Linked DNA regions of Caenorhabditis elegans. The protein of the gene in region 1 purifies or fractionates together with the protein of each later gene. This does not show direct contact. Each region holds a gene or a part of one and is shown on either strand. Other genes may lie near its edges.

The links.
Region 2: the proteins of alh-9 (region 1) and tpi-1 fractionate together in Caenorhabditis elegans (co-fractionation; one large-scale study listed by BioGRID). This does not show direct contact.
Region 3: the proteins of alh-9 (region 1) and F46H5.3 fractionate together in Caenorhabditis elegans (co-fractionation; one large-scale study listed by BioGRID). This does not show direct contact.
Region 4: the proteins of alh-9 (region 1) and agxt-1 fractionate together in Caenorhabditis elegans (co-fractionation; one large-scale study listed by BioGRID). This does not show direct contact.

The regions. Positions count from the first base shown.
Region 1 is NC_003281.10:5,855,354-5,859,690, reverse strand, and holds alh-9 (Putative aldehyde dehydrogenase family 7 member A1 homolog), read right to left. Parts: upstream 2,483-4,337; coding exon 2,276-2,482; intron 2,227-2,275; coding exon 1,769-2,226; intron 1,721-1,768; coding exon 995-1,720; intron 947-994; coding exon 742-946; 3' UTR 512-741; downstream 1-511. Other genes in the region: dpf-4 (Peptidase S9 prolyl oligopeptidase catalytic domain-containing protein), read right to left, coding at 1-59; cct-6 (T-complex protein 1 subunit zeta), read left to right, coding at 4,009-4,145, 4,197-4,260, 4,309-4,337.
Region 2 is NC_003280.10:12,036,295-12,040,820, reverse strand, and holds tpi-1 (Triosephosphate isomerase), read left to right. Parts: upstream 1-1,681; 5' UTR 1,682-1,688; coding exon 1,689-2,006; intron 2,007-2,229; coding exon 2,230-2,331; intron 2,332-3,243; coding exon 3,244-3,567; 3' UTR 3,568-3,986; downstream 3,987-4,526. Other genes in the region: cyn-16 (Spliceosome-associated protein CWC27 homolog), read left to right, coding at 4,086-4,127. UniProt on the Caenorhabditis elegans protein: Triosephosphate isomerase is an extremely efficient metabolic enzyme that catalyzes the interconversion between dihydroxyacetone phosphate (DHAP) and D-glyceraldehyde-3-phosphate (G3P) in glycolysis and gluconeogenesis.
Region 3 is NC_003284.9:7,235,611-7,240,556, reverse strand, and holds the start of F46H5.3 (putative arginine kinase F46H5.3), read left to right. Parts: upstream 1-1,894; coding exon 1,895-1,933; intron 1,934-3,511; exon of another isoform or gene 3,512-3,655; intron 3,656-4,946. Other genes in the region: F46H5.7 (AMPK1_CBM domain-containing protein), read left to right, coding at 1-199, 249-470, 715-732, 972-1,052, 1,103-1,262, 1,306-1,394, 1,442-1,547.
Region 4 is NC_003280.10:8,843,873-8,849,444, forward strand, and holds agxt-1 (Alanine--glyoxylate aminotransferase), read left to right. Parts: upstream 1-1,725; 5' UTR 1,726-1,767; intron 1,768-2,357; 5' UTR 2,358-2,450; coding exon 2,451-2,507; intron 2,508-3,188; coding exon 3,189-3,347; intron 3,348-3,413; coding exon 3,414-3,492; intron 3,493-3,539; coding exon 3,540-3,648; intron 3,649-3,691; coding exon 3,692-3,890; intron 3,891-4,074; coding exon 4,075-4,202; intron 4,203-4,252; coding exon 4,253-4,348; intron 4,349-4,393; coding exon 4,394-4,652; intron 4,653-4,710; coding exon 4,711-4,835; intron 4,836-4,885; coding exon 4,886-4,892; 3' UTR 4,893-5,030; downstream 5,031-5,572. Other genes in the region: F46C5.6 (Serine/threonine-protein phosphatase 4 regulatory subunit 4), read right to left, coding at 1-147, 231-376, 567-614; oac-46 (Acyltransferase 3 domain-containing protein), read right to left, coding at 5,349-5,572.

The DNA.
Region 1 (4,337 bases):
CCGAAGAGATCTGGTGTGATCGGACTATCCCAACTTCCGTAGACAGCTTCAGTTGCCATTTTTCGGGCACTTTTTATGCTGTAAAAATAGTTATTTTAAGAGAAAAATAAATATATTCGAGATAAATTCGTCAATATTTACAATGAAAGCGTTTTTGTAATTGTGAGGTTTGTTTGTTTCCAAAACAATCAATAAAATTCAATTTGACAGACTTTCTAAGTGGATTAGTTTAAAGTTGTTTAAAAACATTTTTAGAAAAAACTCTTAATTTATAAAACAGGCATCACCTAAACATACAAAAATGCCATCATTATAATAATTGTATTTAAAAAAAGTAAAACTTGCGTTGGGGCAGAAAACAAGCGGAAGATTCGGAGAAGAATCTGCGTGAAATTGAATTTATAGTTTTAGGAAATGACTTAAAGTGATGAAACCAATCAGCTTATCGGTTTTCAAGTATGCGTACGGTTTTTCACCAGTCTCGTCAATTTTATGACATATATGCTGAAAATATGTTGCACTTTATTTTGTGGAATGAATAAAAAAGGAAGTTTATTGAACAAACATTAAAAAAAAAACTAAGCATTTGGAATGATATGGCACAAAAATTCAAATCACAAAAGGAGAGGACAAGAGTTGAATTACACGCAATTTTAGAACGGAACTGAGAATAATTATGCATGAAAAAAAAACATCTCAAATTGAATGAGAAATGAATATTTACAGAAAATCTAAACTAAGCTATTCGAATTTAATTCCCTGAGCCAAAGGAAGTTCCTTGCTGTAATTGATCGTGCAGGTGGATCGTCTCATGTACTGCCTCCAGGAGTCGGATCCTGATTCGCGACCTCCACCGGTCTCCTTTTCTCCGCCGAAGGCTCCTCCGATCTCTGCGCCAGATGTGGGAATGTTGACATTGACGATTCCACAGTCACTTCCTTTTGGTCTGAAAATTAAATGTTAGTTTTAAATTCACAATTTCAGAAAATCTCACCCCATCCATTTGAAAACATTTTGAATATTTGTTGTAAATAGAGAAGAACTCAATCCTTGATCAACTTCATTATTGATTGCAATAGCTTCCTCGAGGGTTGAGAACTTCAGAACATAGAGAATTGGGGCAAAAGTCTCGCGAAGAACAACTGGAGAATCGTGCTTCAATCCAGTGACAATTGTTGGGAGAACAAAGTTTCCATCCCTCTCAAGAACTTTTCCACCGTACTCAATCTTTCCTCCAGAAGCAACTGCTTCGGCAACTGAAGCCTTGTACTTTCCAACGGCCTGTTGGTTGTGAAGTGGGCCAATAATTGTGTTGGAATCCAATGGACATCCGATTCTTGATTCAAATTGAGCATAAGCTTTCTTCAATCTCTCGAGAACTTGATCGTAAACCTTATCGTGAACAATGAGTCTTCTCGTGGTTGTACATCTCTGTCCAGCAGTTCCAACGGCGGCGAAAACTGTTGCCGGTACAACCATGTTCAAATCAGCATCCTCGTTAACAATGATAGCATTGTTTCCACCGAGCTCGAGTAGAAGCTTTCCGAAACGAGCCTGAACTTGTTGTCCAACGATCTTTCCAATTTCTGATGAACCGGTGAATGAAACTAGATTGACTCTCTTATCCTTCACAAGAGCTTGACCGACATCACCCTCTCCACAGACAAGGGAACAGAGAGCTGGATTTACATTATTGGCAACAAGAACCTCCTCGACAAGTCTGAAAATAGTTATTTAGTGATTACAATTATGAAATAAGCGAGCTTACTTGGTCACAGCAATAGCTGTCAATGGTGTGGATGGAGCTGGCTTCCAGACAACAGAATTTCCTGTGACAAGAGCTAAAGCGTTATTCCATCCATACACTGCACATGGGAAATTGAAAGCCGAAATCACACCAACAACTCCAAGTGGATTCCATTGTTCGAGAAGAGCGTGTCCTGGACGCTCAGAAGGAAAGATTTTTCCTTCAAGTGATCTAGAGAGTCCAGTAGCGTAGTCGCAAATATCGACGTATTCTTGAACTTCTCCAACTCCTTCGGCAGAAATTTTTCCCATCTCGAGGGACACGAGCTTTCCCAGGTTTTGCAACTGCGTACGGAGCTTGTCTCCGATTTGACGGACGATTTCTCCACGTCGTGGTGCTGGTACCTCGCACCAATCGTTATAAGCCTTTTTAGCTTCAGAGATGGCGATTTCATAGTCTTGTACGTTTCCATTTTGTACCTGGAATTTGAAAGTTTTAAAACGTTTAGGGTATGTTTTTGAAACTTACATTAGCAATAGGGGAGTTATTTGCTGGAGCAAATGACTGAACAACTTGTCCACTCGCCGCCCATTTTCCATGAAAGACTCCGGCGTTGTTCTCCGTGAGACCAAGCTCTTTCAGGAATCCGTACTTTGAATCGTTGATCAGCAATTGCGACGCCATTCTGGTCTGCAAGGTAGCTGCAGACATTCCACTGCTCAACAATCGGTTCATCTGGAAACAAAAATATATTATTGTTAGACGCTTTGAAACAGAAGGTATTAGAAAACGAAGAGGTTAGTGGTCAAAAAACAAGAATGAATTGAAAAATGTTCGAAGGAGATTGAATGAAATGTATGGGCGGAGCGAGACACGGGCAGATTGTTTATGACGACGAAAACTGAGATGAAATTGATTGTTAATCAAGGAATTCAAGGACAGATTGCAGATCAATATCTATAAGACTATAGAATGCTGTAAATTTTATGACGTGGAACATGATACAAGGCTAATGATTTACAGCGGTTACAAGTTGTGTTTTTATGGCAGGCAACGTTTTATATATCTGATTGCAGAAACATTTTTCAAAAAATGCGCTCATAGCTCATGAAAAAAAAAATGCGGCATGCCAGTCCGAGGTAAAAACGAAGAAATGACGAGTCACGTGACTATTAAAAATATGAAACCACTTCGTGATAATTATAATAATTCTTTGATTATTAATATTAACTCATTCCCTTGTCATAAATATCATTTTCTCAGTCGTGATCTGCGGAATAGTAGTATTCTGCGTATTCGCGGCAAAGAAGGCGTGCAGCCGGTTGATATATATTTAGTTTCCGAATCAATGATGATATGAAGACAACCATGATAAAGAAGAACACAATGCAGTGACCACTAAAATTTGTGAAATGGAAATTGTGGAAAATTGCAGTCGCTTGCTCGACACAAAAAGAGCTATTCGGCTTATACATAACTTCAGGATAAAATTAATTCCCAGAAATTCAAATAAAAACACAGATCCACTTAGTTTGTATATGTTTCGTTGAAAAGGCGAATATTCGCACAAATTTCAATCTCTCGCACAATTTTTAACTACGGGAAAGCTAACAACATGGAATTATTGTGTCAACTTAATTGTAAATGTTTTAAAATGTTATTTTCACTGTAGAGTGTATTAAGCAAAATGCATTACATTTTTGAGCAATTTCAAATAAATCCCAATTTGGAAAAACTTGCAAAGAATTTGAATTCCCGGTAATTTTTTTCAAATAAAAACGCTTACCTTCTTAGCTGCTTTTGCAGCAACTGATGCTGCATTGGCAGCGGCCGCGCATCGTTTGCATCGTCTTATTCCCGAAAAGGGTGTATTGGGGCATTTTTACTGCGGAACAATGTAAATAATGAAAAACCTAATTTTGAAACACCGCGTAAATCCTCCCCGAAAAGCGTAGAATGTCTCTGCGTGGTGAGACCCAGTTGCGAAATTGTGTGCGCCTTTAGAAGCGAATTTATTTTCTAGAATAAATTCAAACGAGAATCATTGTTTTTCAAGGATTTCTGTTGAAAGTCTTTATTTTTTATTTAAAAAGTTATGTAATAATACATTTTAGAACCTTTTTGAATTGTAATATGCTCTCGAACCTTTTTATGCGTGTCTATTTTCCTCTTGAATCGTTTTCCAATCTCATTTCTCCGTTTTTTAGTTTTTGTTGGTTTTACTGAGATATTTCATAGTTGAATTCTTGTTTTCAGGTAGTATGTCGTCAATCCAGTGCCTGAACCCGAAAGCTGAGTTAGCTAGGCATGCTGCCGCTCTCGAGCTTAATATTAGTGGAGCTCGTGGACTTCAAGACGTCATGAGATCGAACCTCGGACCAAAGGGAACTCTCAAGATGTGAGAATAAACTGATCAAATGTATAATTGAGACTATAATCACATTTTCAGGCTCGTATCTGGAGCTGGGGATATCAAATTGACGAAGGATGGAAATGTCTTGCTTCACGAAATGGTTTGATCGTTTTGTTCAGATTCAGCGTTTAGCACTATTTAATTTCAGGCGATTCAACATCCAACAGCCTCAATGAT
Region 2 (4,526 bases), on another chromosome or scaffold:
AAATATATATTACTGGAACAAAATACTATGAGAATGCGTATTGCACAACATATTTGACGCGTAAAATATCTCGTAGCGAAAACTACTGTAACTCTTTAAATGACTACTGTAACGCTGGTGTCGATTTACGGGCTCGATTTTTTGAAATAAATAGAATATTAAAACTAAGCATCCATTTTGAAAATCGAGCCCCGTAAATCGGCATAAGCACTACAGTAGTCATTTTAAGAATTACTGTAGTTTTCGCTACAAGATATTTTGCGCGTCAAATATGTTGTGCAGTACGTATTCTCTGAATTTTGTGCTCCCGTAATAACCCTTCCCAATCGAATCTATCCACAAACACTCTTCTGCCATTCACACACACACACTACTCAGAACATTACAAAATACGTGCAAACTCGGACTGCGCCTTCTCTCTCCGTCTCTTCATTGTCTACACTGTATCGTCTCGTTTCTCTCGACTGCTGCTGCTGGCCAGCCAAAAAAAAGAAAAATAAAATCGAAGAAACCCCGCTATCTCACTTGTTGTGTAGTCTTGATTTCGATTGAAATTTGTTTCGAAAAAACAATGTCGAATTCGATTTTCCATTGTTATCTCTCGTCCTTATCAAACGTTGGCTATTGATCACGATTTTCGAAAGTCATTTGCGTCATTTTTAATTTTTGCCTAGACTCTAGAGTATCGACTTTTCACGATTTTCTTGTCAGTATTCTTGTCGAAAAGTGACTCGAATTTAATGAAAATTTGTCGTGTCGAGACCGGGTGTGTCTCAAAAATCGTAAAATTTCGCCTCTGGCTAATTTAGTATTCATTGGCAAATGTAAGAAAGGTATATAGTTCAGCAAAAATTCCTTTTGTGTTCGACTCGAAATTATCTGAAATTACCGAATTTCATAATGAAAATTCTTGAAAACTTCTCAAAAAAAGTTATGGCGGTACAAAAAATGACCTGAAATTAGTTAAAATTTGAAATTTGACCGTCTTGTCAAGCGGCTGGATGCTAACTTTTTGAAATCATCGTCTAATTATGGGTATATAAGTTAATTATCTTGCGTTTTCAACTCGATTTAGGTATATTTGAGGTCGATTTGTCACCAGATTTGGTTAAATTTGGTAACATCTGGGGGATACATCGAGCTTAAATGTACCAAAATCGAGTTGAAACTGCAACAAGAAATTAACTTGTATACCCAAAATTAGACGGTTATTTCAAAAAAGTTAGCCGCTTGAAAAGTCGGTTAAATTTCAAATTTTAACTAATTTCAGGTAATTTTTTGAGCCGCCATAACTTTTTGGAGGAGTTTTCAAGAAGTTTCATTATGAAATTCGGTGTTTTTAGACTATTTCGAGACTACTTAAACAATAAAAAACGTTCGACTAGACCATCTTTAGATAGTTAAGTTTTTGCTGAACTATATACTTTTCTTACATTTGCCAATCAATACTAAATTAGCTAGAGGCGAAATATTACGATTTTTGAGCCATACCAGGTCTCGAGACGACATTTTTAAAAATTAAATTTGAGCCACTTTTTGAAAAGAATACAGGGCAAGAAAATCGGGAAAATCGATACTCTCGGTTTCACAAAGAATAGCAATTCTTCTATCGTTTTCTCCTCCTTATTCTGAATTTCTATCCAAATTTCCCTCCAACAAAAAAATTCCATAATTCTTGTAGAATCAAGATGACTCGCAAGTTCTTCGTCGGAGGAAACTGGAAGATGAACGGAGACTATGCCTCCGTCGATGGTATCGTCACCTTCCTCAACGCCTCAGCCGACAATTCCTCCGTTGATGTCGTCGTTGCTCCACCAGCTCCATATCTGGCCTACGCTAAATCCAAGCTTAAAGCCGGTGTGCTTGTCGCCGCACAAAACTGCTACAAAGTGCCAAAGGGAGCATTCACCGGGGAAATTTCGCCGGCAATGATCAAGGATCTTGGATTGGAATGGGTGATCCTCGGACACTCGGAACGTCGTCATGTCTTTGGAGAAAGCGATGCTGTTAGTTTAATACATTTTGATTTGATCTTCGAAAAATTCGGGAAAAGATCTTCTCGAGACGCAGACTTTTCCACTGATTTCGCAAGAGTGTGCTGACGTCACATTTTTCTGGCAGAAAAATTCCCGCATTTTTTGTAGATCAAACCGCAATGAGACAGCCTGACACCAAGTGTCAATAAAAAATTCGAGTTTCAGGGAAATTAATCTGAAATTTCTTTTTCAGCTGATCGCTGAGAAGACCGTGCATGCTCTCGAGGCTGGAATTAAGGTCGTTTTCTGCATTGGGGAGAAGCTCGAGGAGCGTGAAGCCGGACACACCAAGGATGTAAGGGAGCAAAATACTGGAAATTATCGATTTTTCGCAAGAAAATTTGAAAATTCAACATTTTCAAACTTTCAGATTTTTTTTCTTAATTTTTTCGGGTAGAAAATCGATTTCTTCTAATATTTCAGTAGAAAAATCAAGTTTTTGAGATTTTTTGAAAATTCCAAAATGGTTTTGTTTCGAATTTGCACGTTTTTCGGGAATTTTTCAAAGTTTCTTCTTAAAAAATCCCTGAATTTTATAGTTTTGAGCTCAATTTTTCCTCAAAAAAAACGCAATATTTCTCTTTCTGCAACGAATATTAGAAATAATCGCTTCGAGACCCGATTTTTATGAATTTTCGTGAATTTTGAACAGAAAACATTTAATTTTATCATTTTCCAAAAAAGCGGAAAATTCCAACAAAAAATGGTCGCCAAAAATAATTCTTTTTTTTTTTGCCAAATTTTCAACAAAAAAATTGGTTCCGGCAATAAAAAAGAAAAAACTCCTGAAATAGTCGTTTCGAGACCCGATTTCTTATGAATTTTCTTGAATTTTGCAGAAAAGTTCAAAAAAAAATCTCCGAAGAAACATTTTTATTTAAAAATCTTCGAAAAATCGATTAAATTCCCTATTCCACGTGGTAAAACAAAAAAAGTTCAAAAATAATCGCTTCGAGACCCGATTTTTTAATGAATTTTCGTGAAATTTATATAAAAATACAAATTTAAATTCCCAAAAACGCGAAAAATTCAAAAAAAAAAAAGAATCCCGAAGAATATAAAATTTTCGAAAAATCGATAAAATTTGAAACAAAAAATTCCTGAAAAATAATACCCAATTCCTTATAAATAAAGATTTTTTTTAATGTTGTAGAAAAATAAATTTCAAAAATCGATCGCTTCGAGACCCAAATTTTCCAATTTCCAGGTAAACTTCCGTCAACTTCAAGCCATCGTCGACAAGGGTGTCAGCTGGGAGAACATTGTGATCGCCTACGAACCAGTTTGGGCCATCGGAACCGGAAAGACTGCTTCTGGAGAACAAGCCCAGGAGGTTCATGAATGGATCCGTGCATTCCTCAAAGAGAAGGTCTCACCAGCTGTCGCCGATGCCACGAGAATCATTTATGGAGGATCTGTGACTGCTGACAATGCGGCTGAGCTTGGAAAGAAGCCGGATATCGATGGATTCTTGGTCGGTGGAGCATCGTTGAAACCCGATTTTGTCAAGATTATCAACGCCAGATCTTAAATTATTATTTATTTCCCCCTATTTCACAGATTTTTCCGGATTTCCACTGATTTTTCACCGATTCCCCTAAATTTTGGTCGTAAAATTGGTTGATTTTCATTGATTCCCCTAATTTTTAGCCGTAAAATTAGCTGATTTTTCCCGGAATTTCAGCTTCAAAATTGTAGAATTTCCCTTAGTTTTCCCCAATTTTCCCCCAGATTTCCTCTAAATTATATTGTAAAATTAGCTGATTTTCATCAATTTTCCCGGAATTTTGACCGAAAAAAATCCAAAATTTGGGTGAATTCGTGAATTTTTTGGCTTGAAATTTGGCTTTTTCCTCTCTACAGTGTAGATATTAGTAGCAGCTTTTTTTTCCAGTATTTTTGATATTCAAAACCTATATATATTTATATAAATAAATTTCTTGCCGACAAATAACAAAAAATCGATATTTTCAAACAATAGTTACTTGTTCTGTGTGAATATTTCAGCCGGCGATTTTCAGATTTTTGCGGAAAATTTTCAGTTTTCAGATGAGTAATCAATATATCAACGAGCCGATTACGACGGGAAAGGTAAAATTATTGATTTTTATCGATTTTTGGTGGAAAAAATTGAATTTTCCAGAAAAAATGACCGAAAATTTCAATTTTTATCGATTTTTGAATAAAAATCGAAAATCCAGTGAAATTTTCGATTTTTCCGATGAAAAATTCGCGTATTTTTGCAATTTTTAAGCTGTAAAACGAAAATTTTGAGTTTTTTTTATCTAAAAATTGGCTAATTTCGAAAAATTTTGGATAATTTATTGAAAAATACGACCAATTTTGCACTTTTTGCGCCAAAACTACGTTTCCTGGTCTCGACACGACAATTTTTGTTTATTGCAAAGAGGTGTGCGCCTTTAAAGAGTACTGTAGTCTTGAACATTTTTTTAATCAAAAAATCTATAAAAATTCGAGACTACAGTAATC
Region 3 (4,946 bases), on another chromosome or scaffold:
TCAACTCCGACGCTCATGAAGAAGTGAAGAGTACCGCCGTCAGAGCACTAGAGGTTAAACTCGGCTTGGCCAACAATTCAATTCGTCAAGCTGAGGCTGAGAAGCAACAGCTCCAGGAGGCTAACTGGTACGCGAACGAACGTGTCGGCAAGTTGGAACAGGAGAACGGATATTTGAAGGGAATCACTGAACAATTGAAGTAAGGCATTGAAATGACAAGCAATTTTTAATTTAGGGTTTTCTTTCAGGGCCAGAGCAGACACCTCACACGCTGAAAAAATGCTGAAGGACAGCGAGAAGCGTGTCTGGGAGATCAACGAAGAGAAGAGCAAGCTGGAGTGGCGTCTCGGTGAGCTCTCCCAATGGTGGAACGATGCAAAGTGGAAGGTCGGCGAGTTGGAATCCTCTGTTGCCCTACAGAGAAATTTGCTTGACACGGCAAACTCGAAGATTCAAAGCCTTAATGATCAGTGAGTTTTCTTTGGAGTTGGGGTCAGAGCAATACGAGATTGAATGTTTCATGAATTTAAAATATCAAAAACGGCGCTTGTAAATCATTTCATTACATAAAAATAAAAACGAAAAATTGCATGAACATCTTTGATCACTTTCTAGAATTACCCAAAAAAGGACTTTATAAAAATCAAAAACTGAATAAATTTTCAAAATAACAGATAGGAAACTTTAAAGAATTTTTTCATATTTCATTTTTAGGTTAATACAGGAAGTGAGGTAAGGAATACAGATTTTATTGAACTACTTGTAACTTAACGTCTGGAAAGCAATGCACTTTATATTTTTTTTTCTGAAATTTGCGGAGTAGTTGAATTGAAAACAATACTAACTATGTTTTGTTTTTCTTATTTAATTTTTAAAAATTGAAACGAGTGTACAGTGTATTTGACGGTGTGAATATAGTGTTCCTCATCCAAAGCAATATTTCATTCGAAATCGAAATTCCAATAATTTAGGAGTCACTCCAGCACCATGACCATTCCCACCGACGGATTCACCATTAGCCAAAGCAACCAAGGAACTTGGAACCTTGCCAAGTAAGTTATACCAGTGGTTCTCTTGATATCACTATTCCAAGTATTTGCAGCGGAAGTAACCAGCCATGTTTCACCGGAGCCATCCCATCCATCCCACTTGTCTCAGCCCTGCCATTCGCCGGAGCCAATCCATTCATTTTTGGGGGAGCTAACGAAGGAAGAAATGTAACGTTGACCATTTCGAACACAGAGCAGGAAGTTTACTTGACGGTAAGTTTTTTTTTGCCAAATAGGTCTTCATTTGATTTTTCAGGGAAGTTTTATCAACTGGAAATGCACATTGAAATGCGAGAAACTGGTTAGCGGCAAGAAAGGAGTCACGGTCAATTTGACGCGTGGAAGGTAACAACATTCAAATTCAAAACACAAATTTCAAGTAATAATTTTAGACACGAGTTCCGATTCATGATCAATGGCGAATGGGCGACGTCGAGCGACTATCAACAGGTGCCAAACGGTTTGGGCGGACAGAATAACATTATTTTTGTCGAATAATAATTATTCCCTTGATCACTTAAATTGAATTATTTTTTCTTACCTGTCAACTTTGTTTCCATTTACTTCTCCTCATTTTTTGTATCTTTATTTCTTGTTTGTATTACATACCACTCCATTCAAACTTATGCAGTTAACCACTCTATTCACTAGATTGTGTTTAGAAAATTGTGAAGATTCTGAATTTTTTCGGGACTTTTGGCATTGCCATGATGTGAATGAATATTTTCGGTTAATATTAATTCAGATTTCAAATAACTTTTGTTCAATATGTAAAGTTTTTTTACTTAATTTTTAATAATTGGTTGTTTTTTCTCAATTTTCCGAATTAAATTTTTCAATAGAAGATGTTACATCGATGCTCGAGAGTATTGTCACAATTTTTGGTAGGTACTTTGCAGTGGTTTTGTTTCACGTTGACAACTACCCTCAATACATAATATGGCGTTTTATGAAAAAATTATAAAGAAGTTAACATATACTTTCGGGCACAATTTTTGCAGTACTCTAACTATGTACTTGATTGAAATCTCAGCAATCAAGTAAGGAGCAAATAATTCAATTAATAAGTTCCATCCTCTTTTATTTAAAATAGTGTTTTTGCGCATTAATTGATTAACTTTAGAAAAAAATCAACAAACAAACAAATTTGGAAAATGTAAAAGTTTGTTGAAGATCTAATTTTTTCCAAGATAAATTAATTAATTTACAGAAAAGTTTTTTGTCCTATATCTTTTATTTAAATGTTTTTTTTTTCAAAAAGTTAAAATCAAAATATTCAAAAATATTATGAAAATGTGCTATTCAAACTGACGTCCTACACGTTTTCAAAAATTTCAAACTTTAAAACACATTTCCATATTCACCACTAGAAAAATATATATTTTTTTAAAGTAATCAGGTGTTAGTACTTGGAGTCTAAAATTTGCAAAATTGAAAGACTTGAGATAAAAATGAAAATGACGAATAATTGAGAATGTGCAAGAAATATTTTAATTAAAGGCTTCGCATGTGTGCTGAGTGTTTTCAATGTGTTCCATCTTTGTGTGTGGCTTATTTTTCAACAAATTTTTTTTCGACATTTGTTTTTTTTTCGCAGAAAAATAATATGAAAGTTTTGCATTAAAAAATGTGTTGATCAAAAATCTTTTCAAAAGGTAAAAAGGCAACTTTATTTTTGTCTGATATATAACATTTTGAAACACCTGCAAATGAAAACGCAGTCAAATTCCCATTGCACAATGTCTATTCGATTGCTGACAAAAATATACTTTCAGTATTCAAATTAACGTTAATGGCTCTTTTTGTTTGTTTACACTCCCAAAAAAACATTGTGTTCGTTCGAACCAACTGTAATAGGTATGAGCCTATTTCAATAATTATATTTTTGTTTAATTCCAGCAACAATAGTTTTTTATTTGGTGACACGATACATAATTTGTTTGTTAATCTGGTATTTTTGGAGTTTATTCCAATTTTGATTTCGCGCAATCAATGCAGTGAAATAAACTTTGTAAAATAGAAAAAAAGACTCTGGAAAGCTTGGTGATTATGTTCATAGCTAAAAATATCACAAGTAGGTTGATGTTTATGTCTAGATTGAGAATTAAATTATCTTGATAAAATCCACCATTTTTTAAAAACATTTTTCTCAACTTGAATATTGTCTAAATTATAAATTTTTAGTTAAATGTTCTATTTTTCTACTTTTCAATATAATTTGTAAAAATGTATTTTCCAAATTCTCTTGTTTTAGAAAATCCCCAAATCATTCAATTTTCAAATAACTCGGAAAAACTCAAAGTTTTATTACGCGGAGATCAACCTTCCTTCTATCTTCCTGTCTTCTCATGTAACTTCTTATCCCGTATCCCTTTTTATCACTTTTTCTGACTGTTTTCTACTGGCTCATCACAACGTTGCGTGAGCCTTTGGCCGATAGAGGTTAACTGTGTAAAGCATGTTCGGCAACTTCGGGAAAGATGGATGCCGATGAGAGCAGGAACAGATGGCATTCGACGGCAATGAAATAGCAGATGGCGGTATGAGAGTCTTTTGAACCTCATCCTCGTCGGCTACCACTTTCTTTCTTTTCACAACATTTTTTTGCCATACTCTCCGATGGCCGGAAAACAATTGTTGTGTAATATCCAGCGTTTGCGTGAGCCACCGAGTCTTGTGTCAATTCGAGTAGAGGAAAAAAGTGAAGAGAAATAAATTACCCATGTGTCAATTGTCGTTGGTCAAAGAACTAGACTGAAGAAACAAGAAAACGACCCAGAACCAGGAAATAACACGAGAAATGATGAACCTGTTATTTAGAGGAAGAAGAACCGTTCGAAATTGTTGCTCAAAGAGACAAAAAATAGTCTGAAAATGGTGCATTCCATTATGAGACTTTTCAAAAATCTCTCGGACACATTGTTGCAGTCTAAAAGTAACGTGGGTGAACGCAGAAAAAATCTTCAATTTTTCCATATGGATGTGTCGGCTGGATAAAAAGCAGGGCTACATGTAGATATGCATAACAAGTGAAGTCTAACAAGTTGTTTTTGGCGATAAATGCTGAATCGCAAGCCACTCACAAACTAATTATTTTATGGAAGTACAGAAAAAAAATTATTCAATGCCACGAGATTTGAGAAGAAATCAAAATTTTAAAAATTGGACTTTTGCACACCTTTCAATTTTTTGTGTGTTTTTTTTTAAGTGGAAAATCTAACGAGTAACTGAAAGTAAATATCTTTTCGAACAATTGAAATGAGAAAGTGTATAAGTATTGAAAAATCTTTTTTTTTAACTTTGATTACTTTTGCTTCTCGAGTTAATAATGGGTAAATTTACAGATTTGTCATAACATACAACTTGTGCTTGTTTCAAGCAAAATGTTTGAAACTTAATAATTTTTGGCAATCGAACCAATCGAGAATTACCTTTTTCAGTTTTGCACACCCCACTTTAATAGTATTTTTTCACCTCGGCACATCTTGAAATTGTAGTAATAATAATTCAGTACAGAAATAAAAGAAAAAGGTTAAGTTTGTTGTGAATTATACATTTTTACATAGGACACAAAAGAAATAAAATCCCCCGAAGATTAATAATGGTGCGTTTATTAATAGAGGTTATAATGTTTTTTTTCAACAGCGCATAACTGTGTGTGTGTTTCAATTTTTTTTTTAATTTTGTAGCGAGGCAATTGAAAATATTTATTCAGATAGTATTATTTTCCAAAATGAAAGGATGAAACCGTGGGGAGGAGGCGTGAAAATAGATAATCCTTGTTGTGATTAGTGGCACATTCAAATATATTCGATAAGCCGTATTTGGGACAATGGTTGCCAAGACGACGAATACCTGAATTTTATCCAAATCTGAACGAATATTTGGCAGTGTTAT
Region 4 (5,572 bases), on another chromosome or scaffold:
CAGTGAAGGTCTAGGTTTGATTTTTCAATTTTCAAACATTTTTGAATTGCTGGTAGCATTTTTAGAAGGCACTTTTCTCCGTCGGAGGTGTCCAGAATGTCAGGAAATGTGCGAATTGATGTGAGCTTTTGAATTTCAGTTCCGTCTCTGAAAATTTTATGGTATGAACGATTTCCTTTTTTACAAAATGTCGAAAAATCAATTTTGATTTTTTAATTAATAAATCTTACTCTAAATTGATTAGAGCCTGATCCAATGGTGATCTTAGCAATTCCTCAAGATCTGGATCTTCTGCCATTTTGAATAGTTTTTCGAAATCCAACTTCATTACAGGAGGTTCTTTTTCTTCTGTCTCGTCATCTTCAATTTGATCATGCTGGAAAACAAAACGAATTCTATAAAATCTTTTCTGAAGAAATTTTGGTGTGAAAGCCGTTTTAAGTAGGCAACTACTGCAAAAATTTAGTATATTTTCCAATGCCTAATTTCATTACTCATTACTCATTTTCACAATCAAAAACTTAAATTTCTAAATCTCGTTTTTTATCATTACAATTATGCCTTACTTTAATATCAACTATAGATTCTCCATCCATTTCTGTGGCAGCGACCATTGAAATGTTGGAAAATGTGATTAGAATATCTGAAATTTTTCGAAAATCAATTTACAATAAGATGAGACAAAGAGCAACACGAGAGAGAGATAAGATAAACGAAAAAAGAAAAGAGTCAACAGTTTGAACGTCCCGCCTTTTTTTCGCATGATCCATCAAGAGGTAGGGGCAGCTCTTTAGATGCATTTTTGTTCGGCAAACAAATGAAACACATTTTCAAAATGGTTTGCGTTGGGCAAGAAAGTTTGAAAGTGTGGTTAGATATGACGAGTGATCTAGAATGATGCAGAAACAACATGATTCTTCAATAATACAAACTCTTTTTGCTTTGGAATGTAGAGGAGGTGGAGGAGAAGCAGGAAGAGGCAGCTGTGACTCCCGGGCGATGAGCAACTATCTCTATCCTCTCGAAACATTCAAAATGATTGGTGAGACGCAGACATCAAGTCGGTGTGTAAAGATATTCGGCCAAGAGGATCGGGATCGAAGGGCACGCTTGTGATCCAGTGTGAGAAGTTAAAAGCGAGGGAGGAGATGAAGAAATGAAGACGAAAAAGCTCAAAGGATGAAGCTGAAGAAAAAAAAGATAGAGAAAGATAGTGTTCACAGCAAAAACAGACACTGAAACCGGAGAGCTTCAAAGATCACGAGACATCACAAATTTGAGTTGACCTGTAATTGAATCCAACTCGATTTCGAAAAACCTGAGCAGTTTTCTTATTTTTATCAATAAAATGTGCAATTGTTCAAAACATTTCAAAATGTGCAATAAACTCGTGTGATCTGGAAAGTGTTCTTCACGAATCAGTACTTTCCGAATTCTCAAGGTATCTCCAGGCATACAAGTGAATTGGCTGAAAAACTCATTTATAGATTTGGGTAAAGAAAAATGTGAGGAGATTTCAGACGAAGCTAGGCGAAATTCAAGGAATAAGATGTAGAAGCTAAATTTGAAAATGTTCAGAAGTTAATATCTCAAAGCTTTATTATTTTTCCAAAGTTAACACAAACCAATGAACTTTTAAATATTAATTTCTAAATTTATTCATCGTATCAATTTCTGTAGACGTGAAATGCTATTTTCATGGAAATGAAACTAGAAAAAAAATTTATTCCGAAGTCTAAACTTCTCTGGATCTGCTCGTTGTTCGAGGTAAAGTTCAAATTAAACTCTCTTGAAGTTGGTAATCTTTCTCGATTTGTATTGTTTTGAGTAAGATAAGTTGGTAGTCCTTAAATTTTCTAGTTTCATTATTTGGTAGACAATTTTGAAAAATGTTTTAATGTTTTTTTGTAGCCATCTGACTAATTCCACGTCATTGATTAGACCACTTTAGTTCCCATTATAGCTTATTGTTCGCACTTTATTAAAATTTTAACTGATTTTTAAACTGTGTATTTAAAAAATTCCACTAGTTTTTTTCGGATGATCTCCTAAATCTTGAAACGTTATTTTCTAGATTAACGGAAATGTGCCAATGAACTATCCATAAAAATTATGCTCAAACCAAATTGCAAAAAAGTGTTGTTTTCCACTCAATTTCCATAAACTATAAAATAACCACGAGGTTTTCCCCAGTGCACTTTCAAGTGTTTCTTTGAACTCTTCTCTAAAAATTGACCGATCTCTGGGTGTCTTCTCGTTATCATTTATACCATCGACTGGTCATTTATACATTGTGATAAAATAGCCCCTCAGTCAGTCAGTCAGTCAGTGAAAATGAAAGAACAATGTACTTTGAGGAGTCACAGAGATATTTGCCGCCTGCAGGACAACCTCCTCAAGTTTTCTTCTCTACCTCAATATTCTTCCTCAATTGATTTAATTTCGAAGATATGATTTCAACGCGATTTCTAAGACCTTCAGTCTCGATTTTTGGATTTGGAATTAAGGTGAGTTCAATTGGTTCAAAAATAATAGGTTTATTGAGTACACAAATTGGAACCGCCTCTGAGAGTTTATTGTCATCATACATCAACATATGTGTTATCATTGATGAAACTGTTCATTGATACAATCTTTTTAGTTACTGCAATTATTTTATATTTATATGCCATTGTTCATTAAAAAAAGTTTTTGAAGGTTTTTTCCTTAAAAAAAATTATCTAACAGCATGAAAATTATGTCTTTCGAGTTCAAACTCTAAAATCATGTACTTGATTTTTACAGTATTTGGTGAAAAAAAAACCCACTTTGATTTATGGAAAATTTCTAACCATCTAGTATGCCGTTTGGCATTCGACCCTTCAACCCTTCTCCCCTAGACATCAAACCAATTCTTGACCATTTGGACACACCGTTCAATCTCCTCTTGACCAATTGGTTTCTCTGTGTCTCTACTCCATTCTACATGCAAATAGAGCGCATTTCATATTAGTTCCATGTCAGTACTGCGAAATGGAAAACATTTTAGTTAAATTTAAGATCAGTTTTTCGTTAATGTTTTGTTTTTAATAACATTTGTTTTGAGAACCACGTGTTGAACGACCTTTTAGTTATTATATTCTCAAATTATCACTTCCAAATCGATTACCATGTTCTTCGAGTATTTATGTATTTTACTTTTTTTCCAGTCATCAATGTCGTCTCGTGCTCCACCAAAAGCTCTTCTGCAAGATATGGTTGTCCCACCGCGGCAACTTTTTGGACCAGGACCATCGAACATGGCTGATTCGATTGCTGAGACCCAATCTCGCAATTTGTTAGGACACTTGCATCCAGAATTTGTTCAGGTATCTTTTTATGTTTTGTTGGAAAAATAGTAAATCGAAAACTAATTCATAAAGCTTTAATTTCAGATTATGGCAGATGTTCGTCTGGGTCTTCAGTATGTCTTCAAAACCGACAATAAGTATACGTTTGCTGTCAGTGGAACTGGTTAGTGTGCATATATCAACTTTCTCAATATCAAATCTAATATTCAGGTCATTCTGGAATGGAATGCGCGATGGTTAATCTTCTCGAGCCCGGGGACAAATTCCTTGTAGTAGAAATTGGACTTTGGGGACAAAGAGCTGCTGATTTGGCTAATAGGTTTTTAAAATCAATATTCTTGTTACAAATTAAAAATTGATAGAATGGGAATCGAAGTTAAGAAGATTACTGCTCCGCAGGGGCAAGCAGTTCCAGTTGAGGATATCAGAAAGGCAATTGCTGATTACAAACCAAATTTGGTTTTTGTCTGTCAGGGAGATAGTTCAACGGGAGTTGCTCAACCATTGGAAACAATTGGAGATGCTTGCAGAGAGCATGGTGCTCTGTTCCTTGTTGATACGGTTTGTGGTTTTTTTTAACTTTCTCGATCCTCACCATTTATTTATAAATCTTACAATGTTTCAAAAATTAACGGTTTTGTTTCTGAAAAGTTTAAGGTGTTTTTTAATGTAGTAAAATTGAAATTTGCCGAACGAGTCTCAAAATTGAAAATAGATGTTTAATGATCAAAGTTTTCATTTTCAGGTGGCGTCCCTCGGTGGAACTCCATTTGCAGCAGATGATCTGAAAGTTGATTGTGTCTATTCGGCAACCCAGAAAGTTCTCAACGCTCCACCAGGACTTGCGCCTATCTCATTCTCCGATCGAGCCATGTAAGAATAAGAAACAAAACACATATAGTTGCATTCCTCTTCATTTTTAGGGAAAAAATCCGGAACCGAAAACAACGCGTCGCCTCGTTCTACTTTGATGCCATCGAATTGGGCAACTATTGGGGTTGTGATGGAGAATTGAAAAGGTTGGAAAAAACTATGAAATGATGAAATTTATTGAAAAATTTCAGATATCACCACACTGCTCCAATCTCCACTGTATATGCTCTTCGTGCAGCACTTTCTGCAATTGCAAAAGAAGGAATTGATGAATCAATCCAAAGACATAAAGATAATGCTCAAGTGTTGTATGCTACTCTGAAAAAGCATGGATTGGAACCATTTGTAGTGGATGAGAAATTGAGATTGCCATGTTTGACTACTGTGAAAGTACCGGAGGGTGTTGACTGGAAAGATGTTGCTGGAAAAATGATGACAAATGGAACGGAGGTAAATTCGAAAATCCACCAATTTGAAGTTTGAAAACCGTAACTTGTTTTAATTTTAGATTGCTGGAGGACTTGGTGCAACTGTTGGTAAAATCTGGAGAATCGGAACGTTTGGAATTAACTCGAATTCGACAAAAATCGAAAATGTTGTGGAACTTTTGTCGAAATCAATTGGAGAGAAAAGGTCAAAAATTTAATTGATCCGTTTCCTTATCAAATTATTTATATTTTCAGCAAGTAGATCCATCAGTCGTAGATCCATCAATTTGTGATTTCATGCTAATTTATGATTTATTGTAATTTCGTATGCGTTTTGTATGAACATTTTAAATTTATTTAATGTTTTTATGGGTTTTAATTTGAATGAACAAAAAACAAGAATTTCTATTTACATGATAAAAATAGAAGAAGCGAAGGAAAAACAGTCGATGACCGGGGGAATAATCAATTACTGAAAGACCATCAAGAAAGAAGAACAGAAAAATTTCAACTAATCTAAAAGAAATGTAAAGCAAATGAAAGAGGAGCTAACAAATGAAAAAGTGAATGGCGGAATGAAATGAAACAATTTAAGAAATGAATGAGACTACTCGTAATGAATTCGGGTTGACAAGGAAATGATCACCCACTATTTACCTCAAATGTCCCGTGCCTGATGAAAATGAATTTTTGAGTCAAAAATTAAAACAATTAGAAATTAAGCCTTATCGGAAGGCTTTAATTGAATTTCCGAATCTGTTGGTGGACTCGGTTTGAGTGTAGTTTTTGGTGGAGAGGCAAGCAATAACCTTTCGATATTCAGAGCTGGAAGTTCACTGACCATTGTGCATATTATGGCAAAGAAATATGTAATGAGAAGTTGAACAAAACAATGAATGAAGAGTGGAATTTGAGTATTGAAATATATTGGGAAGGGAACGA